Daphnia pulex: one gene and its partners. The main gene of each other region encodes a partner of the protein of the gene in region 2 in a complex. Links are inferred from orthologs where the notes say so. Each region holds a gene or a part of one and is shown on either strand. Other genes may lie near its edges.

The links.
Region 1: transcription initiation factor TFIID subunit 3-like (region 2) and transcription initiation factor TFIID subunit 5-like share a complex: the UniProt entries of both Homo sapiens proteins name them as parts of the TFIID basal transcription factor complex. The link is inferred for Daphnia pulex from reciprocal best matches to the Homo sapiens genes TAF3 and TAF5.
Region 3: transcription initiation factor TFIID subunit 3-like (region 2) and transcription initiation factor TFIID subunit 8-like share a complex: the UniProt entries of both Homo sapiens proteins name them as parts of the TFIID basal transcription factor complex. The link is inferred for Daphnia pulex from reciprocal best matches to the Homo sapiens genes TAF3 and TAF8.
Region 4: transcription initiation factor TFIID subunit 3-like (region 2) and transcription initiation factor TFIID subunit 7-like share a complex: the UniProt entries of both Homo sapiens proteins name them as parts of the TFIID basal transcription factor complex. The link is inferred for Daphnia pulex from reciprocal best matches to the Homo sapiens genes TAF3 and TAF7.
Region 5: transcription initiation factor TFIID subunit 3-like (region 2) and transcription initiation factor TFIID subunit 13-like share a complex: the UniProt entries of both Homo sapiens proteins name them as parts of the TFIID basal transcription factor complex. The link is inferred for Daphnia pulex from reciprocal best matches to the Homo sapiens genes TAF3 and TAF13.

What each region holds. Positions count from the first base shown.
Region 1 is NC_060026.1:1,543,057-1,549,257, forward strand, and holds transcription initiation factor TFIID subunit 5-like, read left to right. Parts: upstream 1-2,315; 5' UTR 2,316-2,350; coding exon 2,351-2,533; intron 2,534-2,595; coding exon 2,596-2,787; intron 2,788-2,848; coding exon 2,849-3,051; intron 3,052-3,113; coding exon 3,114-3,310; intron 3,311-3,373; coding exon 3,374-3,575; intron 3,576-3,647; coding exon 3,648-3,767; intron 3,768-3,850; coding exon 3,851-4,442; intron 4,443-4,504; coding exon 4,505-4,906; 3' UTR 4,907-4,974; downstream 4,975-6,201. Other genes in the region: ras-related protein Rab-5C-like, read left to right, coding at 1-14, 80-339, 409-524. UniProt on the Homo sapiens protein: The TFIID basal transcription factor complex plays a major role in the initiation of RNA polymerase II (Pol II)-dependent transcription.
Region 2 is NC_060019.1:5,266,060-5,272,330, reverse strand, and holds the start of transcription initiation factor TFIID subunit 3-like, read right to left. Parts: upstream 3,506-6,271; 5' UTR 3,326-3,505; exon of another isoform or gene 3,321-3,325; intron 3,260-3,320; 5' UTR 3,198-3,259; coding exon 3,035-3,197; intron 2,974-3,034; coding exon 2,731-2,973; intron 2,666-2,730; coding exon 2,524-2,665; intron 2,464-2,523; coding exon 724-2,463; intron 652-723; coding exon 270-651; intron 201-269; coding exon 100-200; intron 7-99; coding exon 1-6. UniProt on the Homo sapiens protein: The TFIID basal transcription factor complex plays a major role in the initiation of RNA polymerase II (Pol II)-dependent transcription.
Region 3 is NC_060020.1:5,723,970-5,729,563, reverse strand, and holds transcription initiation factor TFIID subunit 8-like, read right to left. Parts: upstream 3,579-5,594; 5' UTR 3,464-3,578; coding exon 3,417-3,463; intron 3,250-3,416; coding exon 3,146-3,249; intron 3,077-3,145; coding exon 3,021-3,076; intron 2,949-3,020; coding exon 2,718-2,948; intron 2,659-2,717; coding exon 2,508-2,658; intron 2,441-2,507; coding exon 2,151-2,440; 3' UTR 2,056-2,150; downstream 1-2,055. Other genes in the region: E3 ubiquitin-protein ligase TRAIP-like, read right to left, coding at 4,697-4,740, 4,798-5,492, 5,551-5,594. UniProt on the Homo sapiens protein: The TFIID basal transcription factor complex plays a major role in the initiation of RNA polymerase II (Pol II)-dependent transcription.
Region 4 is NC_060022.1:1,980,496-1,986,355, forward strand, and holds transcription initiation factor TFIID subunit 7-like, read right to left. Parts: upstream 3,734-5,860; 5' UTR 3,610-3,733; coding exon 3,511-3,609; intron 3,439-3,510; coding exon 3,307-3,438; intron 3,251-3,306; coding exon 3,170-3,250; intron 3,107-3,169; coding exon 2,728-3,106; intron 2,660-2,727; coding exon 2,520-2,659; intron 2,463-2,519; coding exon 2,360-2,462; intron 2,304-2,359; coding exon 2,134-2,303; intron 2,133-2,133; exon of another isoform or gene 2,075-2,132; coding exon 2,048-2,074; downstream 1-2,047. Other genes in the region: myosin-VIIa-like, read left to right, coding at 1-81; mitochondrial import inner membrane translocase subunit Tim10 B-like, read left to right, coding at 621-638, 707-802, 880-1,137; L-seryl-tRNA(Sec) kinase-like, read left to right, coding at 1,166-2,053; NADH dehydrogenase [ubiquinone] 1 alpha subcomplex subunit 2-like, read left to right, coding at 4,017-4,108, 4,292-4,398, 4,465-4,553; putative zinc finger protein 66, read right to left, coding at 4,702-4,832, 4,918-5,049, 5,110-5,584. UniProt on the Homo sapiens protein: The TFIID basal transcription factor complex plays a major role in the initiation of RNA polymerase II (Pol II)-dependent transcription.
Region 5 is NC_060026.1:12,376,269-12,382,397, reverse strand, and holds transcription initiation factor TFIID subunit 13-like, read right to left. Parts: upstream 3,504-6,129; 5' UTR 3,369-3,503; intron 3,295-3,368; 5' UTR 2,511-3,294; coding exon 2,415-2,510; intron 2,261-2,414; coding exon 2,090-2,260; intron 2,017-2,089; exon of another isoform or gene 1,868-2,016; coding exon 1,691-1,867; 3' UTR 1,687-1,690; coding exon of another isoform or gene 1,632-1,686; 3' UTR 1,586-1,631; downstream 1-1,585. Other genes in the region: cytochrome b5 reductase 4-like, read left to right, coding at 1-620, 696-947, 1,099-1,153, 1,230-1,319, 1,385-1,555, 1,632-1,686; mediator of RNA polymerase II transcription subunit 4-like, read left to right, coding at 3,817-3,884, 4,178-4,292, 4,349-4,468, 4,528-4,699, 4,761-5,062; beta carbonic anhydrase 1-like, read right to left, coding at 5,409-5,532, 5,594-5,679, 5,738-5,977, 6,042-6,129. UniProt on the Homo sapiens protein: The TFIID basal transcription factor complex plays a major role in the initiation of RNA polymerase II (Pol II)-dependent transcription.

The DNA of each region.
Region 1 (6,201 bases), on a different chromosome or scaffold from region 2:
CCCATGTATTACAGGTACGATTGATCATAAAACAAAAAGTGTCAACTTGTATCAATAACACCTTTGTTGATATTTGCAGAGGGGCACAGGCGGCTATTGTAGTGTACGACATAACAAACCAAGACACTTTTGGCCGGGCCAAGGTCTGGGTGAAAGAGTTGCAACGTCAAGCCTCCCCTAACATTGTCATTGCCTTGGCGGGCAACAAAGCCGACTTGGCCGCTAAACGTGCTGTTGAATTTGACGAAGCTAAAGGCTACGCCGAAGAAAACGGACTTCTATTTATGGAAACGTCAGCCAAGACGGCCATGAACGTCAACGACATCTTCTTGGCTATCGGTAAATTCAACTCATTACTCACATGCAATTATTCTTCTCTATGTACATCTTTCTTTTTGCACTTGACAGCCAAGAAACTACCTAAGAACGACGGAGCTGGAGGTGTTGGCGGAAGCAGTGGGCAGGGTAGGAGGCTAGACAGAGCTGAAGACGGCAACAAACCAGCTTCCTCGTGCTGCAAGTGATCACGAAATAATTAAACAACAAAAAAAAGAAACTAAACAAAGAAAAAAAACACATACTACACACATTTATGAAAGACAACAAAAACAACAAAAAAACCATATATTAAAAAAAAAGAAAAAATCATCCGTTCTTTGTTTTCTTTGTTTTTTCCACACGCGGGGATCCAATTCCTTTTCTTTCTTATTATTATTTTTCCCTAATTTTTTTTTTTGTAAACCATCAAAAGGACTTTTATATCATATCCCTTTACAGCATCCCCCTCCCCCCATCAGAATATAATTTGCAGCATTTAAATAGTTACAACCTTTTTTGGGGATTATCCGTTGTGTCGATCGTTTATTTTTTAATTTTTTTTTTATTCAAACGGAGCAGCGACATTCCAAATTAAATGGCGAATTTGAATTGGAAAAGAAAACAAGGCAAGGGTTTACAAAAAATAATGGCCTGACTCTGTATTATTAAATCTCCCGACCATCATCAACCATGTTTTTTTTCTATTTTGGTTTTTACATAACACACACCTTTTTTCCCCCCACGTTTTTACTTCAAACAAACTTGTGTGATGGTTCTTTTTTCTCGTGTGTAGAATTTCTTCCCCCCGTTTCTTTTGTGTATACTCGAACCTCCCCCCCGCCCTTCAAAACTTTTGTATATCAAGCTTTGTGAAACCTTGATTACCTTTTTTTTTTTTTATATACAAATCAATGTAGGTGTTCCACACATTTCTTCTCTATATACCTATTTAGCTTTTTCTCTCCTTGATCATGATCGTGGCCCTCCCAATATCTTTCGAATAATGTCCTAACTTGGATATCGTGTAAGTAACGCTGCTATATCAGGAAATGTACATTTCTTGCCTTGCCCGTTGATTTCATTTCATTCTTTCTTTAATTGGCTTTACTGATACTGATAAGCCTTTGCACTTTGGAAGTTGAAATGAGTGGAGAAATAACGAGAAAAATTTGGATATTCTTGTGAAAAGGCGAATCTATATTGATGCACATGGTACAAATACGAATGACATTTCACAAGAGGTAATTTTTTTTACAGCCAAATTTCAGCAGCTTTTGTCCAAGTGGGAACTCGTGGTGGTAATTAGTTTTCTGGTTCTGGATGACAGCTGACCCAGAATTACCTAGTGAAAGAACAGAACAGTTAGAGACAATTTACACGGCGTCATTAAAACTAGTGAACTTACCTAAGAATCAGACTGCCATTTGCTTCCATGTGACTGCGAGTGGTTGAGAATGGATTTACTTGGAGCGAGCACGCATCTTCCTGCGCTTACGCTTAAGCCTACGCATACGCTTCTTACGCCACTAAAGAAAGAAAGAGCCGGCCATTAGATTCACAAGCCTCGAGACAAGCATCACAGTACACCGATACATGAAACACATAGAATAGGTAGAAAAACGATAATTACCTTAGCTCTCATGATGCAGTCGGTCTCTAAATGAAACAAGGAAAACGAAACAGTCGGTTAGAGATGTTGAAAACGAGGCAATTGTTGGATGATATTGGATTTTGTTAACTCAGTAAAACCAAGAATGAACTTACCTAGGAAAGACTGCAGAGAAGAGTGAGAGAGCCAGTGCCTGATGGTCTCCTACATTGCCTATTTCCGTTTCCACTCCTTTCTTTAAAAATAGTTGAAATATTATATCGTAAAACATATTAAAACCTATATTAATTTGATGCTAGAAAAATTAGCAATTTTATTATGGGTAAAGTATTGTTTTAATTAATATTTTAGTAAATAAATTTGATAACTGGCACAATGCAAACCCGCTGTCGGGGTTGTTTACAACGAAAAAAAAAAGGAAAAATGGAGTTCGATATGAATCAGATATCTCAAACAAGTAATTCAAACGCGAAAATTGAAGCATCTGAAAGTCAAAACAGTGAAGTTCCAAGTGAAAACAGTGCAGTTCAACCTGTAGAACCAGAAAATGTCGACTCCAATACCCTTGCGGCCGTATTACAGTTTCTTCAGAAGCACAACCTGAAAGTAACTGAAAATGACATGATTATTTTTAAATTTCGGCGTCTCATTTATTTACAATGTATTAGGGGACGGCTGATATTTTGAAAAAAGAAGCACGGCTCAAGGAGGATCAATTACGAGATGCACAAGCTCTTCAAGTGGATTCAGAGGCAACAAATTTGCTCTCATCATACAAGAGCGAAGGAGACCCAAATGCCTACGAAAAAGCTTACCTAAGTTACAGGAGATTTGTGGAAAGCTCGCTGGATGTTTATAAAGTATGGTCAAAAGATATTCAACTCAATTTCAAATAATAATTTCAATTTGTTTACTTTTCAGCATGAGCTGTCCCTAGTATTGTACCCTTTATTTGTCCACATGTATTTGGAAATGATTTACAACCAACATGAATCAGAAGCCGCTAAATTTATGGAACGTTTTTCAACAGATCAGGAAGATTATTATCAGGATGATCTTAAAAAAGTTTCTTTTATTACCAAAAAAGAACACATGAAAGGCAGTGATCTCATGGAGAATTTCAAGTAACAAATCACTTTTTTTTTAAATAAAATCGTCAATCATAAAAACTTAAATTGTTAAACAGATCAAGTCAGTTCACCGTTCGAATGTCCCGGGATACTTACTCGGTTTTGAAGCGGTTTTTGCAGGACAAGAACCAATCAATTGTCATGAACGTCATTCAGGAACACTTGTACGTCGACATGTACGAAGGAGTGCCGAGAAATAAAGCCCAAGTTGAATCCACAGCCGGAGCCATGGAAGGCGAGGCCAACAGACAAGGTACACAAATCAAGAGATTAGAAAGAAATCCCCAAAACAATTACCAATTCTTTTCACTTACAGTAAACAAGACCAAAATCTACTATGGTCTGCTCAAAGAGCCCGATATCCAGCTTCCGGTAGTCGAGGAGGAAGAGGACGGAGAACCCGGCGAAGGTGGTGAAAAGCCCAAAAAGAAGAAACCCAAAAAGGATCCGTTGCTCAACAAGAAAGCCAAGAGCGACCCTAATGCTCCACCGGCCAGCCGATTGCCATTACCAGATTTGTAAGATGCAGATGCAGTGAAAAATGGTGTGGAAAAAAAGGAAAATGGTTGAGCTGTGAGTTTCTGTTTCAGGAGAGATATCGACAAACTGGAGAAGGTCAGGGCCCTACGAGAAGCCAGCAAGAGGGTGGCTCTTGGTCCAGACAATTTGCCGTCCATTTGTTTCTACACGATGCTGAATTGCGCGGAAACGTCAGTTATTCTAATTTACCTGATTTTTTCCATTCAATTTGAAATTATAATTTTTTTTCTTTTTCCCTTTTTGTGAATGACAGGGTCACGTGCGTCGAATTCTGCGAGGATTCGTCACTATTAGCCGTAGGGTTTTCCGATTCCATCCTCAAAGTTTGGAGTCTTGTACCCCAGAAACTCCGGGCCATGAAACCGGCCGAGCAATTGGCCGATATCGACAAGGAGGCCGAAGATGTTCTCGTTCGTATGATGGACGACAAGACGGGTGAGACTATGAAAGTCCTTCACGGCCATTGCGGGCCGGTTTACGCTGCCTCGTTCAGTCACGACCGGACGTTACTCTTATCATCGTCGGAAGACGCCACGATCCGGCTGTGGAGTTTGCAGACGTGGACCTGCCTGGTGGTCTATAAAGGCCACATTTACCCCGTGTGGGACGTGAGGTTTTCCCCTCACGGCTACTATTTCTCATCAGTCGGACATGATCGGACTGCCAGACTTTGGGCCACCGATCATCACCAGCCTTTAAGGATCTTTGCCGGCCATTATTCAGACGTTGACGTGGTCCAATTCCATCCCAATTCCAATTACGTCGCCACAGGTTCCAGCGATAGGAGCGTCCGTTTATGGGATTGCGTAACTGGCAACTGTGTCCGGCTAATGACTGGTCATAAAGTAAAAACATTTTCATCCTTTTTATGAGTTTGTTTTTCTTTACAAGTTTTTTGTTTGTGTAGGGAACCGTCTCGGCGTTGTGTTTCTCCACCGACGGCCGTTTTCTGGCATCCGGTGGAGCTGATCAAAAAGTCCTGTTATGGGATCTGGCTCACGGTCACTTATTGGCCGACCTGCCTGGGCACACGATGACAATCTCCAGTTTGGCCTTCAGTCGAGACGGGACCGTGTTCGCCACGTCTTCCCTGGACGGCTCCATCCAACTGTGGGATTTCTTCCGGATGACGGATGAGTCCTCTTTAGAGGACGTCAACATCTCGGGTCACAATCCAGACCTTCTCAAGCGGAGTAACGCCATTGAATCGCTCCGCCTGGCACGTTACCCGACCAAAGCCACTCCTGTCATGTCATTGCATTTCACGCGGAGGAATTTGCTACTCGCTGCCGGCATGTTTGAAGGCTAATCCCTCGATTCACACCAATTTTTAAAAAATAATAATAAGAATTAAAATACATATAACTTTGTCTCTTATTTCCACAGATCCATTTTGTTGTTGTCAAGTCGGGAAAAACCAAATTCTGTCGAGTTGGCTACGTATTTTTCGTAAACGTGCCTAGTGAACCTCGAGACCGCTGTATAAATAGAAGATAATCGACCTGGTTTTTTCCGAGTCGATCTAGAAGTTTCCAGTTTGAGTCAGTCCGAATGGTTAAATTCCTATTGCTACGCAGTGAACCTTTGAATTTGAACCAAACCTTGGAAAAATCCCAAAGAACTGTTCAAATATTAAAAGAAAAACGAGCAAAGTCTAGACCATAAAATGGAGACTTAACGGGATAATAAAATTCAAATTTCTTTGTAGACCAAATAAGGTTGGAGCTAGACAAAAGTCACACGTAACTTGTTTCTTTGGACACGTATAGCGACCGGTCGGTCGTCATGTGTGCACACATAATTTATTATTTTTTCGCCAATAATTAATTTTAATTGAATCAGAAAAAAATCCCGGAAATTTGATTTAGTCCCAAGTGTATTAAAATACTGTATTCTTATCGCGTTGTCGTTCAAAGATTCCTTCAACAGAAGAAAGGAACTGTTGATTTATTATCACACATAAGGGAATGACGCAATCGGCTGTGTAGGCCCCAACACACCAAATGTGGCATAGCAACATTACATGTATACATCAAACAGCTTTGCGTAGGGGTAGCCAAAAAAAGGGATTTTAACTGAAATGACTCGACAGAAAGTTGTCGGTTGGGGGGCTCGGTTCGACCAATGCCAAAACATTGTGTACGTGTCCCAGTTTATTCGCACGTAACAATGTTCGTCAGCGAAAATGTTTACCATTCGTATAATGAACGTCAGCTGGCGCAGTTGCCATGCAAAGTCAACGAATACGTAATATATTTTTTCGCCAGAAAAAAGGGTGTGTTAATAGGGAAAAGAAAAATGCTAAAAGATTTGTGTACGGTTTGGCAGCAGCAGTTAAAAAAAAAAGCCTCCCTCCAGTTTTTCGTGACACGAGTTGAGCACGTGAACAGCTAGTGGTTGGGCTCGTCTCTGATTGGCTGGCCATTCGCTTGTGGCGCCAATTTGATCGCGCGGGATATTCCGTCAGCGCGGGCTCAACCCACCACGTTTTTTATTTTTCCTCTCCACTTCCCCACGTTCTCTACACACACACTTGTGTGTGTGTTCCTTTTTTTATTATTCCCAAACATTTTCTCAAAATTTTACACAGTCAGACCCTGTTAA
Region 2 (6,271 bases):
CAAACCCTAATCATGTTTGTGTTAATATAAATTAGTTCGGGTTTTTCCCGGTACATAAATTATGTTTTGTTTTAGTGAAGAGAAAAACTATACAATTACCAGTGGTACCAGTCGTCACATTCATCACAGCCTATCATTGGAGTTCCATCGTCTTGACGGCCGCAAGCTGGACATATCCATATCTTGTTCCCGAATTCGTCCTTAAACATTTATTTTTGCAAAGGTAAAAAAGTAATAAAACAGTAATTTGGCCAGAGATTATTACTTACATAGTAAGAACCAACTGTTTCTGTAATAACCGCTACATCTCCAACACCAAGTTTCTCGGCTTTTTTCTTCTCTTTTTCTTTTGTGACTCGAGGAGGTTTTTGAGGTTTTTCACGTCTGACTTTCGGAGATGGACTAGGTGTACGAGGGGACCCTGGGGGAGCCGTTTGAGAAGTAGATGGAGACTCCAACGAGGTTTCCCCGCAAGGTTTGATAGCTGGAGTCTCCTTCACAGTTTTTACCAGTTTAGGAGGCCGTGTAACCAAAGCAGAAAATTTTGCAACTTCGACAGAAGGTTGGACAGGCGATTGCGATATTACGTCTCGGTTCCCACTTGCAGCCGTAGTGAAATTTCCCTCTCTGCCAGCCATGGCTTTAAATATTCTAATACAGAAACATATGCAAAAGAAATTTCAAGCGAAGGTATTTTAAAAGAAGAGAAATGAAAATGGTTACAGTTTTGGAGTAGAATCTGGCGTGGGCGGATTTGGTGAAGTAGGTGCAGCTGCAAATTTAAATGTTATTTTAGGGACAGTTATTTCTTCTTTCTCCTTACATTTGTCCTTTTCTTTGTCTTTGTCTTTGTCTTTTTTTTCTTTTTTCTTTTCCCGTTTGGTTTTTCGTTCTTGCTCGTCAGAAACCTTAACTTTGATTTTTTTCTCCTTTTTCTTTTTCTCTTTTTCTTTCTTATCTCTTTTTTCTTTCTTTTTCGATAAAGTAGCGTCACTTTCACAAGTGTCTATATGTAACGATGATTCAGGGAGGCTGTCAACAATATTAGGAGACTTGGTAGCTGGAGACGGTGACGGAAGTATTTTATTGGTGGAATCCCCTTTGGGTGTTGTGCTAAAATCGGATGGCGATACGTTGGTAGGTATGGGTCCTAAGCTTGCCAACATATTCGAAGGAGAAATCCCTAAAGGTGATCTTAGTCCCAAGGGAGGTACTCCCAATAAATTGAATGGGACATTTTGAATAAATGGCTGGGAAACCAATCCGGGAACAGGAAAATGAGGGGAGAAGGGGAAAAAAGATTTCGGAATCGATGGAATGGGTGATTCAGCGTGCACTGGTGGTGGTACTACTTCAGATATTTGAGATTCACTTATTTCGGGCGTCATCATTCGAGAAGGGCGACCTCGTTTCCTTTTAGGTAGGTCAACACCATGATCAGTCACCATCTTGGCTTGATTTTGGCTTGATTTTCCACCACTTGTTGAATCGCTCTGAAACGACGATTCCTCCTTTGAGCTCGCAGGATCTCCTTTAAAAAAATCAGCCCCTGGTCTCCCCTTACTTTGACCGTCTACAATACCGATTTCGGAAGCAAATCCATGACGATCCTTTTTATTTTTTAGCTTGCGTTCTTTTTTCGAAACCTTGGTTTTTTCAATGGGGAAAACTTCACTGTTTGAAGAAAGCGACGCTATATCCGAAAACCCTTTAAATGCAACTTCATCGAACGATGCATTGGATCCTTTTTCAGACTCGTTGGTTTCCGGGGGAACGCGGTGCGGTGGTGGCACAGCGACGCGTGATGCCTGATTATCAATGTCTTTGGTTTTAGAAAGTTTTTTGAAAATATTCAACTTTTGCTTAGTGGAATCAACTGGTGTGATTGATTCTGAAGGTTTAAACGATGTAGACTTCTCTTTTTCAAAGAATGCAAATTCTTCCAACAATTTTTCCTTTCGTTTCTTCTTCATTTTCTCTTTTTCTTGTTCTTTCGCAATAATTTTGTCTTTCTCAGCCTTTTCCTTCTCCTTTTCCCGTTCCTTTTCGACCTCCCTTTCCCTTTCCTTTTCTTGTTCTTTTACACGTTCCTTGTCTTTGTTTCGTTCTCTCTTTCCTTCTTTTTCAACATCTGCCTCTTTGGTTGGTTCGAGTTGTAATTTTTTTCCTTCTTCGTTTTCAACTTCACGGTCTTTAATGATTTCATTTAATTTTTTCACTAAATCTGAATCCTTTTCATCGCATTTTCTCGAATTCTCGTCAGCTTTTTTAATGCCTTCAAACAGTTTCTTCATGTTAATTTTTTTCTCAGTAGGGAGGTTTTCTAATTCGGTTTCAGGACATATTTTTCGAATTTTGGTTTCTGGTAACTTTCCTTCTCTTGAGGAAGAGAGATACCCTGAAGTTGTCATCATTACACTGGATATTTCTCTTATTGGTTGCCCATCATCACCCAACCACCCCCTAAAAGACAGAAATGATTTAAATATAAGTAATCTAATATCACAAGGTGTGTTTTAATACCCTTTCCGCTTCTCAGCCCCATCAGGTCTTTTAAAAGAATAAGAATGTGGAGACAAACTTGTAATTTGTTCCACATTTTCTTGAATAGAAACATTAAGACTTTCAGCAATTTCTGTTTCATCCCCTGAAACTTTGTCTTCACCTATAAATAATTTAGTTTGTAATTATTAGCTGGAAAATATATGGAAAACCATTTATATATCTCACCAAGGATTATATGCTGCATTGGAGGTAAATGTTCATGAATGTGAACAGGCCTGGAAAGGACTTCATGGCTTCCTGGTTTAAGGAAATTCAATGCATGTTCTCTGGGTATGGGTATTGCAGAAATGTCTTCATTGAAAGGTGTAGGTTCAACATTGCAAACATAGTCGGAAAGGTCAGGTATAGAGATACCCATATCTCGAAAAACCAAACCTAAGTCATCTAAATTTGGAACTGTGCGTCCAACTTCAAATAAAACCATTTTTAGTAGCATTAAACTTGTATAAATATTTGGAGTATGAATTACATTGTTCTGAATATCTGTGCAATGAATGGCCTGTTTCAGTCAAGTATTTCTGAAGAACTTCAGTAAGTAAGTCTAAAGAAGAGGCATGAATCCCATTCCAGCCAATATTATGGCTGCAATGTCCAACAACTTGTCGTAAAACTTCATTCTGAAACTCATTCATTTCGGCCGAAGTTTTATACCTAACCTCTTGAGTCTTGAGGAAGGACCAAATGAATTGCTATACTAGAATGTATTTTTACAAAAAAAATTTAAATTCAAATTTTTTTTAAACTTTTTTTACTACCTTACTTCATACACTGTAGGCCTAATTATTTTAAATATATTTTGGGAAATTCAGGAAATTCTTTCACTAGATCACAAAACCAATGTATACACAAAAACAAGGTCTCTGGGAATGTGACGCCGTCCAAAGACCTAGCGTGCAGACGATAAATATGCCAATGAATTCTATTTACATGGTGTATTAGTATGGTGGGGGAACTTCGGCTATCTCGGCTGAAGCCAGTGGTCACCTATGATCAGCGCTGCCTGGTGGACAATTTTGAGAATTGAACCAATGACATGCCAAAGAATTGAACCAAGAATAGGTGACCAGCCCTGCAATTGGCTTGCCTTTTGCACTAAGCTCCGCCTCTTGTCCGGAAACTGGCTTCATTCGAGATAGCCGATTCCAACAAAAGTTCCCCCACCATACTAATACACCATGCTATTTATCTATTGCCATGTCGGTGGCGCGGGGGCCATAGAGTTAGGATGGTTAGAACTTAGAAGGCAATGGCCGATTGGCAGTCAGTTGTAAAAACCCGCCATCTAGCGACGTCTGGTGATGGCTATGGCACTCTCTGAAGTTGAAGTGAACTCTTGTGCTGAATCTGAATGGCATCTCTCATGGTACCTCAAAGGCCTGCTTTTGCTTGCCCTTGAGGTGCGAGGTTCTCGTAGAAAATGAGAAGAAATAAAAAAAACCAAAAACACGAAAATGAATCCCTTGCTGCGCGCGCGAGTTTCCCGATAGGGCTTTTTTTGCGGAGTTTAGGTGTCTTTTTAGTTTTGGGTTCGATATTTTTTTTCGATTAATCGTTTTCGTTAGGGAATAAAAAAAGCCTCATAACAATAGGAAAGGGAAAAAAAATTGCTAACCGAAATGAATCCGCCCAAAAAATTAAAAACCTACGCGCGAGGTCGAATCGAAGGTATGGGGTGTGTGTGACAGTAAATATAAAGTAAATAAAGTATGCACCATGGAAATAAACATTCGTGTACAACAAAACCCGCAGTGATGACACCATTGAATTCGGAGAACGGGAAGAACATGTTTCGAACTGCGGTGGAAGAGGTTATCCATCAGCAATTTGCGAAAGTTTATACTCGAGCTACCTAAAGAAGTTTCAAATTTGGATGCGGAATTTTATCTGTGGAAGTTAGTTTTGCCAGCTGCAAGCCTGCAACTGTTGTAGTGTTTTTTTTAGTTGTGGTTTTTTTATCGTTTCCAAAAGAAAATAATACCAAATTCCTTCAGCTGTCCGAGAAGTGTGTGGAATTCAAAACAAAAATGAAAACCATTGAAAAAATTATTAAAACTATTAAAAACGGAAGTAATCGAAATAATGTAATTTCTAGTTAATTTTACTATTCCGGCAGTCCTATCCACTGAGGAAAATTTTATTTACGATATCTTCTCCAATTACTTTATACAGAGTGATAGAGACTACCCTGTATCACTCTGCTTTATAATAGGAAATGTTTCTTTATTTCTTATTGGTCAACCTTGTTTTTATACTTTTAAAAGTTTCATCTGTTTGAAATTTTTATCATCGGTATTACCATTTCTACCGGATTTTAATCAAATAAAAAGTTAACAAACGATAATTCTAAAAATTTTCTGTTATTACGCATGGTTCCCTATTCACGGATGCACTTCTAGCTTTTTCACACTCTTCCTATAACCATCGCCTATAACGTGCTGCCACCAACTCGTTATTCACGGAATCACTTCTAACTTTTTCCACATTCTTCCGTATCGCCACCACCCTTCATCACTCTGCTATTTCGAAATCAGTTCATGATTTGCATTTATTACACATCACTGTAATCAAGGAACACTCATTCGTGGATTTAATTTTACATCTTTTTTTTTTCGCACCGAGTCCAACAACCAGAAACCGTTGAATTCTTCAGTAGATAGCAGAATCCATCCTGAGTTAAACTTAAACAAGATGACAAATTATGTTTAAATTTTTGAAAGGATGATTATAACAGTGTAATAACACACCTGCCAATTCATGGCCCTCTTGGTGAGACATTGAGAAGAAATTTACGCATTTAAAAAAAAAACAAATAACACGAAAATTGAAATGTGACCTTACACGTAATCAAATAATCAAATAATCATAATTTAAAAAAAAAGCTCGATAAAAATGAATCTATTGCGGTATGGTGCGATATGGGATAGAGGCAGGCTATTAGTCATCCACATCGTGATATGTAATCATTATGAAATCTAATTGATCATAATATTACCACGATATCAACATACAGGATTATTGAGACAGAGATCGAGAGATGTTTATAATTTTTTCTTGTATGATATCAGAAATTTGCGAAACTTTTGAAACACTGTTGAAAAAGTGCGCTATGCGCGGTATTATCTATTATGTAAAATTCTTGGGTTTGTGACAAAGACGCGAGTTTAAGGTACATAATTAAAAATCTCGAATTCTTTATCAAATTTTTACTATTTCAATATTCTACTCATCATACACGGGATTCATTACACGTAATTCTATGATCTGTACTATTTCGCTAATAGTAAAGAATAGTCATATGTGCAGTAATCTGAAGCGTGGAACCACACCCAATGGCACGACACAACAGATCATAGACGCAATAAAATTTTGAAAAGGCATGTTTCAGGTGTCAAGCTATGTAATATTTTGACAAAGACAAACTACAAATTTGTCGGGAAAATGAATCGATGAAATTAAAACGGGTATGAAAACAATGCATCAAGAATTTAGTCGTCAAAACGAATCGAGTTCACTTCGAATGAAATAGCTCCTCCCCTGTAACTTCCTCGCTTTTTTTTTGTCTTTTCATGTCGAAAACTTTTTCCCTTGGTGTGTATTAAATCAAGGTTGGCACGCTCTCCCCACGAACCCGACGCACCTCTCTGTAAATAAATTTTAAAAAAGAAACAATGAATATTAATCAATAAAAAGTTGCGAGTACACAACG
Region 3 (5,594 bases), on a different chromosome or scaffold from region 2:
GGTCGTGGGCTGGGACTCGCGTGCAATTCCCTGTTTGATTACGATGCCAATTCTCGAGTTGAATAACAAGGAACCGTCATGATGTTTAACCTAAATCATTTTCAAGGAAAAGAAGAAGAAAAAAACGAAATGCCTGAGATAAACCAACTAGCACATAAAAGGCGAAAATTGGGAGACCGAAGATAACCCTTAAATCTGGCTGCAGCTCACGATTTCTCTTAATGCGAATGGCAGTTGTGTTGCGGTTGTGAGCCGCTGGAATGAAATCCGAAACGGACAGATGAGGTTCCCTATCAGGAAGTGCGACGAATCGTCATCTCCACGCTGCAATGAATCATGAATATTCCCCAGTGCGTACTATTCTTCTCTAAAGGTATGATTTCATCAATTTAATTCCCCGCAAAGAGAAAAAATCAAATCGAATCAAGTACTTTGGACAGGTTGACAGATCACCTGTGGCAACCGGCAGCTGCCGGCTCGTTTGCGAATCATTGAATCATTCTCCGAGTCATTCCCCTGTCAATAATCCATCAGTGACGACTGACGAATGCATGTGTTGCAAAGGTACAACTTTCTACGCTCGTGCTGGCTATAGTCCGGGTTCCTGGTTTAGCGTTTTAGACTGCTGTGAGAAAGGAGACATCTGAATTTTAATTTCAGTCAATCCTTCATTCGCATCAAATGGTTCCTTGACAGCCTTTGTTTGAGCTGTCGGCTTCTAAGATAAAACTGTTTTTTGTTTTTCAGCTTCTATTATTTCAAGCAACCATGTTATGTCCTGCATGAGGACTTTTTCCCATTTAAATTTGTTGGAATTGACGTCACGAATTGACGTGCTTTGAAGTACCCAGATCACCAAGTTTCCCAAACATCTTTACAAACGCAGACCTTTGTGATTGGTTTTGTCAAATTAGATTTTCATTGCTTCTCTTGACGAATATTAAAATTGATAAGAAGGTGGAAATTTATTCTTGGAGCGTCAGTAGGTGAACTCCACGGCCAGAAGCGCTAAACCGGACTATGCTATGCATGAAGTGGTTGGCCACTAGTGACCAAGAAAAGTTCTTGGTTCGACCTTCTCCGATTTGCGTCATCCGGCCGATCGGTTTGCCAGGACCAAAAGACGCGCGAGACTTTCGTTTACGAATTACGACGTTGGCAATCAACCCTCCTCTTTTACTTGTGGCAGTTGTTGTTTGCTTGATGAATCGTAAATGACAGGTTGTATGTAATAATACGTCTAATAAATTGTACAACATACCAAACGTACGAAGGAGCATATTGCATGTATAACGCAACAACTGCAAAGATATGTTTATCGCGTATCTCAATAGTTGAAAATTTGATATTTTCTAACCACAAGCTCCGATTTCAGCTTCAATCAATCATTTAATTTAATTTCAATTGTTCCTTCATTACAGTGCATACAAATAGATTTATCCTATTACATTTAAAATGATTAAAATTTTTAAACAATTCCCCTTATGCCGTAACAGCATTGTATATAATAACCAAAAACTGAAAATTACCCTACTTAAGTGCGGGATATAGCTTTATTTTCTTATCGCTAGGTGTCTTATTTTTCCATTTTACAAAGTCGTCTGCAAGTGGTACTCAACAACTTTGTGAAAATGTCACGATATTTAACGAAATTTAGGTAATAAAAACTTTATCGGTCACGTGGAGGCACTCACTATAATACTTTATAATATATTTAGATTGGCCATACCTCTAGTTATTCAGACCAGGCAATTAAATGCTCATAGAGCGTCAATCGGTAGTATTGGACGATCTATCTACGTGAGAACATACCCAACTTTGCTTGTACAACCTGACGGTTCTACAATAACCGTACATTATAATGAACCTCGCGCAATAATAAAGGCAAATTTATTTTTATTTTTAATAAGTATGGACGTAATGTTTGTTTTACTTCCATTAACAGCTGCCTCTGGACTTGAGTATGCTATCTGAAGCTGAGAAGCAAAAACGACTGGCCCAAAGGAAGCCAAAGAAAAAGGTCAAGATTGAAGAGGAAATTGAAGACACATTTGATCAAGATTCATATTCACATTTATGGAAAAAATGAGATGACAGCTGATACACAAATAGTACGAAAAATAAACTAAATTTAACAATATGGATTGTGGTTATGGGGAGCTCTTTTTCTTTGAAAAAGGCATTTTAACTGGTCTGATGAATGGATTTTCCATGATAAATGGTTCTGAATTTGACATTTCCATCAGTGAGCCATTAGGTCCAAGGTTATCCATCATTTCATTGTTCTCTTTCTCCTGATCCAACTTGGCGGCTTTAATGGCTTCAGCATTTGCTTCTTCTTGCTTTTGCATGTGGACGGCTGCCTCGTCTTCTTCAAAAGTTTGATCGCGAGGGAGAAGGGCGGACAAAAACGGTTTATCCATTGGCTTACATGCAATAACTAGGACACAAAGAATATATTTAAATGAAAAAGGTATACATTACTATTTTTTTCGTCCTCTACTTACGGGGATAATGCGTCAAATCTTCGACCAAAAAGAAACTCTGCGTTTCCCCTGTTTTAGCGACAAAGCGCGTCAGTGCTCTCTCCACATCTCGCTTTTGACAGGATGCCTTTTCTCGAATAGTTTCGTAGTCCGTAATAGGTTGTTTGTGAGTCTTAAAAAACAATAATTATTAAAAAATATAATGTATGACAAATATGGAAAACAACATACTGGTGTTTGAACATATGCATGTGAATCTGGAAATGCTGGCAAATGATCTGGGATATGACTTGGATGTGGTCTCTTTTGACCAGTTTGTAAAATTCCAATTTGTTTGGTTGCAACAGCTTGAGTAGGAGTTGGTAAAACTAGCCTTCTTGCTCTTTGAGCATATGATTCCAAAGAGTTGTGCTTAATTCCCATTGAAACCAAGGCCATAACAACATCTCCTACAACAGGTTCCTAAAATTAAAACATATAACTTGACTACTGATTATACCCTATAACTCAGAGAAGAATTTAGATAACCCATACCACTCTTGCAGATAATTCACAGTAAAGACGGCTACTATGACCAAGTTCAGTCAGAACTGTAGAAAGAAAATAAATAAATAAGGTTTTTAACAAATATGATTACTTTGATAGATAGAAATGCTTACAGCTCTGCATCATCTCGGTAAGGGTCTCCAATGACAATTCATCTACTGCACTGAAGCCTGCCTCACTACACAAACAACTCACACTGGCCTGAAGCAGTTTCCTTCTACAAATATTTAAGATAAATTACATTTGTGTAAAACACCTAATTATTAAGGTCTGTCTAAATCTGACATCAAATACTGTAACATGGAAAAAAAAGATTGAGTATCCTTGTCAGTATTTTAGTCTTTTAAAAGTTGTTTTTCACCACACGTATATTAAATGTTTTACCTAGAAGCTGCTCCAGACATGATGGGTTCTGAAACAGTAGTAGTCATTCTCGGTGTTGTGGTTTATAGAAGAAATGATTTTTTATTGAATTATAATATTTGTTGAATGGTTTTGTTGACAATGCAACAAAACTAGCAGTACAGTCGTTGGTCGTTGCTAAACAGTCGCTAGGATTGGTGCAGCGGCGGCACCTGAAAGCTTCGTCAGATTCACTCGCCGTCAATTCTTTCATTTGGTTCTGAACTTGTAAGTCGTCGTCGTCCTAGTGAGTTTTTATCGTCTTTCATCTGGATTTTACCATAATATAGTTTTACAAAAATGTTCTGTTTAATTAAAGCATTATATAGACGACATTTGTGAGTTTTTCCGTGTTCGTAAATAGTAAACTTCCTATTTTTCTAAACAGGATTATCTAGCCACACCAGCTATATACAATGGCCAAATCCAAGAATCACACAAATCACAACCAGAGTAAGTTTATAAATTATATATTTGGAGACACGTTTTAACGTTTCCTCATTTACAGACCGTAAACATCATCGTAATGGCATCAAGAAATCCCAGGCTCACAAGTGCCCATCCAACAAAGGAGTAAGATTTTTGTTTCTTTAGTTACTTGGAACATTTGTCAAATTGACTAGAATTGGTTATTTAGTATACTTTTGAAGGTTCTTTGTAGTTCCTTGTTGCTTTAAAAATCAAGCCCATATTGATTACTGTTCACTGAAATCCATAAATTTCATTCTAAGTTACTTGACGTGAACTTTTCGTGCCATGTATGTGTTTAACCAATGTTAGTTGAGATTGAAGTTTTAATGTTTCTCCTCATTTGCAGGTCGATCGCAAGTTTTTGAGGAACATGAAGAAATCGCGCGCACGCAATCTGAGCACTGCTAAGCAGTTGATTGTCGCCAAGTACCGCAAGGACCAGGCCGAAAAGTAGTTTCTCAAATTCGCGAGGATTAAGTTTTGTGTAAAACAAAATGTTCTAAATACAAATCTTGATTCTACCTTTTCATCTATTACCTAAATTTATAATTAATGTAATATAATTTATAACTAAATCATAAGACTTATAGAATTGTTTTGCCAAAAAAAGCCGACTATTGTTGTTCATGGCTTCATGCAGCAGATTACTTAAATCTACAAGGATACAAAAAAGACCAATTTGTTTTTTATTACGCCAGTTATATATTTTAAGACAATCTGTACAAAATATAATTTGTATTGGACATCTGACGGATAGACTATTAGCAGCAAATTAACATCTTCAATTTATATTATTGAGAGTAAAAGTAATCTAAGGTCGTGGTCTGCGTTTTACCTGTAAAGAAAAAACGTCGTTAAATATCCTATTTCAGTAATGATTAACAGTTTTTACCTTTAATTTTCATTGTAACTGGTCCTCTCTTCTTTTTAGTGCCTGAAAGTGATGAACTGGAGGAACCGGCACCTTTTGGGTAAATTTCGGGTTTTGCGTGACCTCCAAATCCATCATAGAAATAACCACTAGTTGACGGTACTGGATCGACTTTCATTTTTTTAAACTTCAGGGATTCACCATCAACGGATGCGGATGAACTGCTAGCTTTGCGAGCCTCCTTTCGCTGAGTACTGGAAGCTGCTTCTTCTTGTTCAGGATTGCTAAGTTTGGGCTGCATGCTCGAAATATTTTGCGATGACAACATCAATCTAGACGAAGGAACGTTCGAAGGTTTCATTCTAAGCGGAACTAATGGAGTAGAAGGTGACGATGGCGTTGTCATGAGAAGATTAGACATTCGAAGGTTAGTCGGCGCAGGACTCTCATTGATTAGACGAGACAGCGCAGAGTTGCGAGGATCACCACTCGGCGATGAGATCGACTCCGTAAGGGCCTTAAGCTTTTCTTGCAGTTTTGCATTTTCTGTAGTATATCTTTTAATATCCTCTTCTGCCAAGCTGGATTGCTCTTCTTTCTCCTTCAATTCCTTCTTGGTTTGCTGGAGTTCAAGGCGGAAAGTGCTTAGGAGTCGTCGACATTTTCTTAACTCTTCGTCGGCTTTCTGCTTTAGTTGTACTTTAGTATTCAGCTCCCTATGGGAAAATAAACTTTGAAACAAAGCTTTGAATGTTGGCTGATATTATTCAGTACCTGCTTAAAATCACACATTGCGTGCTCAAGGATTTGGCCGTTTC
Region 4 (5,860 bases), on a different chromosome or scaffold from region 2:
TACAAGATGGACGACTTGCTCACCTCCTACATCTCCTTGATGTTGAATACCATGAACAAGCAAAAGTCCATGCGGCTCTAATAATTTGCTCGCTCTTATTCTTCACCATTTTATCCCATTCAAACGAGAACGTAAATGTTGGCTATCGAGATGAGCTTCGTTCCTTTGGTCAGTTTATAGATTGATTTTCCATCACGAGAATTAGCAACTTTGTGAATAGTTTCTGAATTTTGCGATATTTTGCCACTACCTAGTTTTCCGTGTTTTTTTTTGAATTATTTTTAATTGACACCGGGGTCATCTGCTTTTGACGGGGTCTACTATTGTCAATGCATGCTTCGCTAGCTCTCCTCAAAAGCAAGGAACGATCCCGTTTCCCCTTTGCAGTTTTCATCGCCCTCATAATCGTCTTTTAACAAATTTATGTATATGTTATTTGAAAAATGAAGAATTATAATAAAGCATTTTACACTCGAAATCAATAGATAAACAAGTAAATTAATTTTTAAATTTTTTTAAACAAAATACGGATATGTTGACGTTTCGGCTAATGTGGCAACCCGGTGAGCCATATGTTTTGCAGACGACATGAATTGTCAATTTGTGGAAAGTAATTCGAAATGGATGCACTCAGGAACGTAAGTTTTTAGAAAATGTATTTGAATTGTAATTAATGCCAGAAAGTTAATTGATCTCTTCTTCCTAGTTTAAAGATTTTCTCTTAGTGTTCAACAAAATGTCAGAAACTTGTTTCACGCGATGCGTGAACACATTTCAGACTAGAGAGCTGACTGAAGATGAGGTAGGCTAAGAACATGAGGTTTCTCTTTCATAACATATCAGACCAATAGTTATTTTTTTGTTTTTGCTTTTTTTTAGGATAAATGTGTTGAAATGTGCTCAACGAAGAACATTAGAGTCAACCATAAAATCATGTCTGTGTATATGGAAGTTCAACCTCTAATTGTGCAAAAGCGAGTGGAAGAGATGGAGAAACTTAACCCACCACAAGCAGTCGCAGAAACTATTCCTGAAGTTGCTGAAATTAACACAGTTGCACAGTCAGTCATAATAGCAGAAACTGAGCCTCAACATGTTTCACAAGAGACCTCATCTTTAGAGCCTCAAGTTGTGTAAAATAGTGACACATACCAACAGGACAGAAATGAATCAGTGTTATTGCATTGTGGTGTTACTAGGTTTGCCTGCCAGTGGAAAGAGCTGGTTAGCAGGAAGATTATGTAGTTTTTTAACAGAAAACAATTGCATTGTGAATTGTGCAACTTTTGATACTATTGTGAGTTTAGAAAAACAGGCTGAAATTGCTGTTTCGTCATCTAGTGAAATAACAAAGCATTACCGTCGCGAGATGAAAGACACTGTGGAGTCTTTCTTGAAAGTGCCCAATCCTTCTTCCAAAAAGTGTGTCGTAATTGTTGATGATAACAACTACTATCGAAGTATGCGGTATGAATATCATCAGTTAGCGGCCAAATTCTACACAGGCTACCTTCAAATTTATGTCAAATGCGAAGTGTCTGAAGCGTTACTCCAAAACAACAGTCGTCCGCAAAGCAGCCGTGTTCCTGACATTGTAATCACTCAAATGAACACCAAATTTGAAGATCCCTGTGAAGCGTGGGAAAATTCTTTGACGATTGGACACATTGATTTAAATGATACAGAAATATTGAACAAGATATGGAATTACATCCAGAATGCTGTGGATAGTCCTGTCTCAACATTGAAGACTCTAGAAGAAAAGAAGCTTGCGTCCGAGCAAAGCAAACTACGCAACGATCACAACATCTTTCACAATATCGACAAAGTTCTTAGAAAAAGATTAAACCAATGTATACGCGAACGTAAAGAAGAAAAAGACGCTCGTGTATTGGCAGCACAACTAAACGACACTCGACAATCTATTTTGGAAGGGATCAAAACAGGCGCCATTGCAATCCCGACAGACATTCTGAAGGCGGATGGATCCATCGATTTATCTATCCTTGAGGTTTGGTCCATTTCAGCTTTTATCCAGAGGTGTCCGTTATAACATGGACATGATTTGGTCATACTAGAATACAATTTGTTAAAAATAGCTGAAATAATAATAAACAACACAATAGAGATCACCTCTTCCTTTTTCTCTTGTTCCTGAGCAACAAGTTTTGAAAGAGCCATCTGAAATCTTTGCTTGAGGGCGGCGTTTTCAATTGTAGCTAGCTCGTTTTCTTGAGCTTGTCTCATGTTCTTGATCTCACGGATTTCATCCCTCAGTTTATCAGCCATTTTTTGCAAATCGTCTTAACGACAAATGATATTAATTTTTAAAGCAGAAAAACAAATTTGAAATGTTTACCTTTTTGTGTGTCGATGACCTTTTTTTGTGGAGATAGATTAGAAGAACTGCTGTCATCCCGAAACATATCTCCGCTAAATTGGGTTATCATAGAATTGGACCCCTAAAAAAGAGAATGTAACAACTATCGAAACAAATTTAATTATTTTAAATTTGGTACCCTGTTGCTTCCTGCATAGAACTCCGAACCCGATCCACGGGATTCGTCACTGTTTTCGTAGTCTGATTCCATAATGTTGATCTTGCTTCCATGTTCTTCATCTGAGTCGCTTAGTGCCTCACCAAAAATATCGTGTTCGGCTATAGATAACAGAAGTATGAAGCAATTTGAACGAGTGCTGAAAACCGTTGGTTTTTACAAAACATACCCAAGCCACGGTTTTGTGTGCTAACGAATGTTCCGGATGCAAGAGGGACGGTCATTGCTGCCCCATCTCCCAACCCAGCTTCATTGGCTGCCTTTACCTTAGATTCATCTTCTTCTGTGATCAGTTCCCATCGTACACTTACCGCTTCATTATCAACACGCAGTAGGCGCCTGACTTCTTTTTCGATTTCAGGAGCCTCAACGTACTTCTTTTTAAGGGTTTTTCGAAATCTCCTTTTCCTGACATTCTTCATTGGTGGAGCTATGCCGTGAGGCATAAGGAATTTTTTATCGACCTTATGAGGATCTTTTTTCTTTGGTTTAACAGGAGTTTCTTCTTCACTACTTGACTGTTGTTCTCCTTCTTTACAAATCAATATCTTCAAATTTTAAATATCAGGTAAAATCAATATTCTAAGAATTTGAATTGAATTATTACTCACCTGGCTGACATCAGCGGCTTTGTAAAATGTTTTATTGTCAATGGTTTTTTGAGATTCCATGACACATGGAAGATCTAAAACCTAAGTAAATATTTGTTTTACAATTGAATATCAAATACTCTAATTAAGAATAACACCTTGGCAGACATAGTCCAATTGTCAAACTGAACCTGTCCTTTCCTCATGTCATTATCCATTCTAATATTTAGGCGGTCCTTCAGATTCATCACACCTGTCCTTAGAGTTTGTCGCAAACTTTCGGCACATTCCTACCACAAACACATTAAAGAATTTCAGTTTAAGACAATAATAATGTGAATACAAGTGTCCAAAGAACTCACTGGTAAGGTTGGTGGGAGTCTCAATATAAACTGATTTTCCAACTCATCTCCTCCATTATCATTTGTACTGCTAGGTGGTAGAACTGTAGGTCTATTCATTTTTTAACAATTGAGCCTACCACTAATATTATTATATCACGAGTCACTATAAAAATTAGAATCAAATATTCGTGATTCGTCGTTCACGAGCAGACGCCACAACAATGTCGGACTGTCACTGTAGGCGTAGGCCGTGTAGCAACGTCAGCGTTGTACTGTATTTTAGACGTTGCTATACTTTCATACTTTTGTATTACTAAACTATTGTTCCAGGATTCATTTCTATTTAATAATTGGTAATTTAAAGAGAAAATAAATTTATCTAAGACAAAACGGGGATCAGAATACTTTTCAAATAAGAAATAACTCTTTACTTTTGTTGCTCGCCGCTAGGATCAAGAGCAAGATATCTCGAATCTCGATTCTCGAGTTTGTTTTGTTGTCGAGTCTGCAAAAACTTTTCCAACATGGCAGCCGCTAGAGCAGTAAAAATTTTGCCCCATGTGAAAGAGATTCGGATTCATCTTTGCCAAAAGTCAGACGCCAGCAAAGGGGTTAGGTAAATGAAGAGTGTGTTAAATGAAATGTAAAATGCGAATAATCTTTTATTGTGAAAGACGTGAATTATTCTGTGTAGACGTATAATCATGGTGTAATCGTAGAGAATAGTCTCATTCAGTCATTCCCTTAATTTTATCATTTTAACTCTTCATCTTCATGGTGTTATTACTATTCATTTTAGAGATTTCATTGAAAAGCATTACATCGACTTGAAGAAAACCAATCCCAAAACACCTATCCTCATCAGGGAATGCAGTGGTATCCTGCCAAAAATCTGTGCCCGACATGGTTGGTTTACATATTCTAATTTGGATTCATAGTAAAAATTACCTTAATTGTCTTTTTAATTTATAGAGAAAGGCCTGGAAGTAAGTGCCCCAGTAATGAACCTGTCTGCTGAGAAAGTTCACTCAGTTTTGGAAAGTCTTGTTCTAAAGAAGTAAAATATTGTTCTTTATTTGTAGAAGTATTGTGTAAATAGAAAAGTTAGGATGAAAAATTTACACAGTCCTTGCCATATTTCATAGTTTATTTTCATTATCACCATTTGACACTTAATTCAATCTTATATTGATTTAGCCTGGTCTATAGTTATTCATTTTCATCACCAGCAGGTGGCTTTGTTCCTTTGGAAAATTTGCAATGGAGGTTCATATGTCTTTTTACTTTAGAATTGCTTGTGAATTTTGATTCACAGTTTAGACAACTGAAAGCTTTTTCACCTAGTTTAAATTGTAAATTCATATTATAATAATAGATATTTCAATTTGGCAATGTGCTCTGGTTATAAAAAATTGACAGCCGTACCTGTGTGAGACATTTTATGGGTTTTAAGTCGGTGTGTTGTTCGGAAACATCTACCGCAAGTTTCACACTGGAATGGTTTCGCACCTGTATGTTCTTGTTTGTGTATCTTCAAATTCATTGGGTGAGTATATGCTAAACGCAAAATGAATTAGTAAGTAAATTTAAAAACTAAGATCCACAATGGTTAATTACCTTTATCACAAAGATCACACTTAAATGGTTTCTCCTTTGTGTGAGTCAGTTCGTGCATTTGCAGATTATTTTTTAATCTGAAAGCTTTGCCACAGAACTCACAAATGAATTGATAGTCAGCAGAGTGTAGTTTTTGATGATTTCTTAAATATGACAAGGTAAAGAACTGTTTGTTACATTCTTCACAAACATATGGCTTATTCCCAGTATGACGATTAAGGTGGTCCATGTACTTTAGCATAGATACAAAGTTCGCTCCACACTCGGTGCAAAGATGTTTATCACGGCTAGAGTGCCCAGTATTTTTTGTTTCTTTTTCAACTGTATGCACCAACGGTTTGCTAGTGCAACATTCTTGAGCTTCTTTATTTTCTTCAGTTCCCTCTTTGTTTATTAGACCGTTTTGAACATCAACTATTTCAGTTTCTTCAACTTTTATAAGAACTTCCATTATGATTAAATACCCCTTTTTATACTAGTTTTGATGCCCATTCAGAACTTTCAACCGAATAATGATGCAGCACTGTCCTATAATAAGAAATTTTATACAAGATATGAAGTTAGTATTAATTTTGTTTAGTTCAAAAATTCAATTAAATAGAATGACATTTTTGTTAAAGACTTTACCAGTGACCAAACAGCAGGAACGAAAATAAGTGTTTCACTGTTTTGACTGTTTTCTAAAAACAATCAAGAGAGCGTCGTCTGCAACAAAGCATGCAGTCCTGCCAAACCTCGAAAGTCGGCACTC
Region 5 (6,129 bases), on a different chromosome or scaffold from region 2:
CTACGAATCGATGCTGAAGAAATGCCTGGTCGGAAGATTGAAGGCGGATTCCATGCTGCCTCCAGTCAAACGCGCACAAAGCAAAGTTATCGTTGGAAAGGGCTTTCCTGCGCCTCCTCCGCCCACTCTGTCGATATCGACGCCTTCTATTGGAGTTGTCACCACCGATTGGATGCAGAACTCCACCAGCGTCACTGTCGTCCTTTATACGCGACAAAAAGGACTTGACGCACACCGGGTGTCGACGTCTATCGACGGGAAACTTTTCCGTATTCGTATCTACAGCGACGATTGGTCACGCTGTTACGATTATCAAATTCACTTAGCCGAAGTTGTCGAATCTTCCTGTAAGGTTACAGTATCGTTGACAACGGGCAAAGTGGAATTGGTATTGCGCAAAATACAAACTGCACTCCATTGGCAGAAATTGGGCGATTTGGAGGACGTCAGCCAAGGGTTTCAGCCGTTAAGCCAAGCCTCACCATTCTTCCGCCAGGCCACTTTAACACGCAAATTGCGCGTTAATCACAATGTTTTTCTATTCACTTTGACGTTTCCTACTGGTCAAGACTTTTACGTCCCTGTTGGTTGGCATGTTCAACTCAAACTATCTCTGGAAGGTGATTGCACATATGCGTGATCTTGAAAAAGGGTTTTTTATTTTTATTTTTTATTTTCACGTTTCTAATCATTAGATGGAAGTGAATTAATCCGTAGCTACACTCCTGTTGTTTCTGATCTTTCTTCGTGCAAGACAACAGACTGCCCATCTAAAACTGAAGCGTCTAGTTCGCTTCAGTTTCTAATCAAAATCTACCCTGCTGGACCATTTACTTCGGCATTGGATCGATTGGCTGAGGGTAACAGCTCGATTGAAGTGAGTGATCCAACTGGAAACTTCCTAGAATCGCAATTAGAGAGCAAGAATGTGGTAGCTATCGCCGCTGGTACGTATTAGCATTGTTGGACGACCCCCATTGTTGCCTTGTCTTTGTTGACATTGTTCTGTTTATTCATATTTGCCCTCCCGTGATATATTAACCAATAGCAAACATCTTAAGTAAATTACATTCTTTTTTTAATAAATTAAAATTCCAGGTACGGGGATCACGCCATTAGTCAGAATAACAATCGATACCTTACGCAATAATAGGTACCCCTTTTGATGTTTTTGTCGATTAATCTCTTATGAACTAAGCTCATTTGAATACCAATTTTGATTAATTTAGGCGTGTTATGTTACTGTTCTTCAACCGAACTCAAGAAGACATAATCTGGAAAGAAGAGTTTCGGGAATTAGAACTTAAATATCCTGAGAAGTAGAAAAACCGAAATTTCATTCTAACCTCACATTAATGAAACATCTATATCAATTTTTCAACAGGTTTAAAGTATGGCACGTATTGTCTGAGCCGGATGAAGAATGGTTAGGTCTTCGAGGCCGAATCAACAATTCTATACTAGCCACAACTATTTTAGGTAGGGATTGTCCTGACGACGGTTCCAATTTTGCGTGTGTTTGCGGACCGTCAGACTTTACTTTGGAAACACTCAGGTGATACATTCTTTGAAAATTCACACGAAATTTTGGATTGAAAAAAATGACGAAAGTTTATTTATTGTTAAAAAAGGTTGCTGGATGCTGCAGGATACATAAATGAGGCCGTTCACGCGTTTTCGGGATAGAAAATTAGGAAACGCCTGCATATTTGACTTCATCGAAAGCTTTACGAGCTTTCTTCAGCTCCTCGTTCATGGTTAGAAGGTCTTTGACGCGGGCAAATTTACGCGTGTCCTTGCGAACTAAAAACACCATGTCTTCAACTTGAACTCGGCCTGTCCGTCCAGTTTCCATGGCCTTGTGCGTCTGAAGTAGTAATAATGCAAATAGTTAATGTCAATAAAGTCATTTGCCATGTTATAGAATTCTAATCAGGTTGCCGACTCTTTGTGAATTGCCATAACACGATGAAACATTTGCATTTGATTTCAAAAATAAACATTTTTGCATTCTAACTTGATAAATAAAATTCAAAGATAGCAAATCAGATGTCACAGTTTGAAAAAAATTTTAAGGTATTAGTCCTACCGTTTCAGTGATGTATTCAATAACAAGGTCTTCCAGCAGATCAACACTTTCTGTATAGGGATTTTGATCATCACCAAATCCAAACATCATGCAACGAAGTTCCTTGCTGAAGAGGCGCTTTCTGCCTGATGAAGTGGATCCATAATGCAAATCAGGTTCATCATCATCAAACTAGAAATTGAAACATTTAGAAATTAAATGAACAGTAAAGCATTAAAACAAATTTAAATACAAAAATTTCCACCAGCAATATGTTATATGTACCAGCAAAACTTTCAGCTGGAAATTACTTAAGATTTAATGTAACTTAAAAGAAGAAAATTACCTGATCATAGTTTTCATCTGGATTTTCTCTTTCTTTGCTGTCTCTTTCTTTCTGTGGGGACGAAGTCAATGAAGTATTCACCGAGGGAGAAGACATTTTGAAATTTGATTACTAAACGAGTAAATGTTAGTGGGTTGGAGAATTTTCGAGCAATAAACGTCAACAAATCAACCACTGCAGAAGACACTAGGTAGGTTAGTAACGAAAACGGTTGCCAGATGGCTGTAAAAGCACTCTTGTACGTACTAAAATCTGCTTTCTTGTAAAAAAAATACATTGCGCGGCGCCTGATTACGCATTCAACATTGAAAAATGTTTATTGGTTACAAAAAGCCAGAGTTATAGCTCTGCAAAAAGCGTCAAAGCAAAAATTTCCTCGATTTAAATTAGTGTCGTCCATTTTCATTCAGTTTGAAATCTCCAACGTAACTCGGCTTTTCTACGCCGTTAGCGTACATGGCAACATCATACTTGATTCGATATGGTTTATTGGAACCTTGATTGTAAAATAAGGAAACAGTGATACGAGCTTCTACTTGTTTTCCGGGGTAAAATTTTTCAGAATCCTCAATCATCTTGCGGACTTCAAATTCGAAAGATTTGTAGGCACTGTTGTTGAAATTTTTGTGCATGGGGACGAGATTATTTACGTCCGATCCCGATCCTCCAAGCATTTTGGCAATGATATGCCCGGCATGATAGTCTCCTTCTATACCTAGTTGTTTTTTCTGCTCATTGTTTATGGACACTGTACTTCCATTTCCAAAATTTTCCGACCGAACAACCGCATAAACTTTGCGATACTCGTTCTTCTTCTCCAACCTTAACTTTGACAGACTTGTCATTCGACATTCTTGTAGACAGGAACTGAACCAAGAATCTGTAACACAAAATGTGTTTTAAAGTCCTCATAACTGGAGATTCTAAAGTCGAATTGCTGGACTATATACTCACCCAAGCAAACAAATGAATGTCTTTTCACTCTTTCCGGAGTTTGTTTTTGAGAAATTGCTCGGAAAACTTTGGGCGGGTCAGACGATCAAGAGCGGAACAGCGGATTCCTGCTGTCTGTTTATGTTTACGAAATTCGATTCATAAATCGTCGCCAGTGTTGCATTATTATACACTTCAAACATATCTCATTACTATTATATTTTTTAGTTTCTTTTAACGAAATCACGTTGTAGAGCGGTGATTCGACTCCGAATGAATCCATAAATAAAGGATAAGGAAATTTAAAAAAATACGTGGTCAGGTTAAATCTAGATATGGCAACCTCACTTCTCTAGTTGTTGTTGCAGCCGTAGCCGAGCCGCATTCAAGAAAAACTAATTTTGATTGGAAAGTTTCACTTACCTGTTTTTATAACTATTTCTATAAAAAGGAATAAAAATAACTAGACATGACTTCTCAAAAAAGTACCAGAGAAGTATTGCTTACTTGCATCGACGATATCGAAATCATCGCAAAGTAAGTTTTTCTTGATTTGGCTGCCTTTGTTCGTCGACTATTTTGATCACGTAGTGCAATTGTTCTTCCTTCAAAATTTTTTTAATGAAAGTTAAAGCCTCAGATCTATCTATTGTTCATTAGCATGATATATTTATTTATCTTATTAGGTAATCATACCATTGTTTACCTGAAATTCAGAACACTTTGTCACACTCGTTTGTATCATACACTGTTTTGAATTTGATTATTGAATTTTAATCTTCCAAAATATAATTGTCACTGTACTAAACTTAATCTTTTTAATTTATTAGGGAACTTTTGGACAACTTAATAGCCCAGAAGCAGCAGAAACCTATGAGTACTGAACACTCTCAACTTGTTGAATTGGTTCTTCAAAAAGACACTGATCTTAAGGCAACACTTAAGGTAAAATTATTTGTTTTTCATAATTTTTTTCAATGCTAATTCTTTCTTTTATTAAGTTGGCTGAAGAACAAGGTGTATTACAACAAAAAGTAGTTGCCTTAGAGACAGAAGTTGAAAGGCATGATGTTGAGATTCGAAATCTTCAAAAGCAGCTTAAGGAGGCAGAGCAGCTATTAGTAAGCTATTTTTAATTATTTTGTTGGTTTTAGTATTTCATAAACTTACTCTTTTTCAGGCTACTGCAATCTTTCAAGCTAAGCAAAAGTTGCAATCAATCACACGGGCGAATAACAGACCTGTAAATTCCGAAGAGTTGATAAAATTTGCTCACAGAATATCGGCTTCCAACGCTGTTTGTGCTCCTTTGAATTGGCAGCAAGGAGATTTACGCAGACCATATCCCACGGGTAGAAATTTTTTTTTAAATTGCTGTCCAGTAGTTTCATGTTGTTTTGTGGTGGTTTTCAGATATTGAAATGCGGCTAGGATTTTTGGGCCGTCTTGGTGAAATGAATGTCAATGGACACATGAGTTTTCCAGAACTTTTGCATCGTCCTAATCATTCTTTGCAGCAGGGGTCTTCAGTTCCGAATTCTCAAGCAGGCACTTATAGTTGGTTATCTCAAAATGACCTGCAAATGCCCTGTTTGTCAGTTTCACACTTGGGTGTGAGTGGTGGAATGGATCACAAAAATCCCAAGAAAGAGAATGAAGATGTCGACGTTATGTCTACGGACTCGAGTAGCAGTTCATCTTCCGATTCTCAGTAAACACGTGAGCTAACAATTTACACTCTGTATCCTGCGCGATTGCTTAATATTGTTGGTAACCATCCTGTATACTATTCTACTTTCGCATTTCTTTTTGAAAACCTTCCTCATTCAAAGGTTCGTAAAATAGATAAATATTTGTGCAATTCCTTTTTCGAATTGTTCAAATTCTTTTCCATTATAAAGTTATGCAACAATTTATTTTATAGTTAACTTCTCACTATTTACAAAATAGCTTTAGAATCGAACTCCCCATATAAATTCAGGAGATGTGCGTCATCTCTATAAAAATACCTAGATTTCCATATATTCTTCAGCATAATAACCCGAGGCACGTCGGTTAAGGTCACACAAAGTATTCGCGTATTTCATCGAGCAAATAATCGGATGTCTCTTCGCTTATCTCCACAAACCGTTTTTGCTTGCGGCTAAAGACGTAGATGTCTCCGGTATAGATGTCGAACCATAACCTAGTATCATAAATTTCAACATTAAACACTTACGAGTAAACGTTTGATACATGATACATACGCGTGAAGGTGTACTCGCCCCGAATTTATGGCACTTTGAATGAAGCTATAACTGGCAATATGCTGTAGTTGTTGCAATGTGTTGAGCTGAAAAAAGATAACCCAATTAGATTTGTAGACATTACATAACTTGGCATAATTCTACCTGTGAGAGCTTATCTGTTAGACTAAATTTATTGTCAGGGTCTATGTAGGCAACAAATTGTCTGAATGGTCCCTCCATTGGGAAAGTCAAGGGCTGTTGGAAACCATGCACTTCTAACCTCTCAAATTTAGTTAGAGAAATACTACCATGGCGATGAAGCCAAGCTTTAAGTGGAGATCTCTCGAGAGTTCTCATGTTGGTTTCAATTCCTTTTTTAAAACTATACAATAGGTTCATAGCCTGAAACAAAAGTTGTGTGTCATTATGTTTATGTTATCATTTAACAAGTTTATGGTTGACTGACCTTGCAATCTGAGTGTCCACAAACAACCATGTGCTTCACATTATTTACAATGCACCCCAGCTCCAGGGCTGCTGGTTCAGTGGTAGCT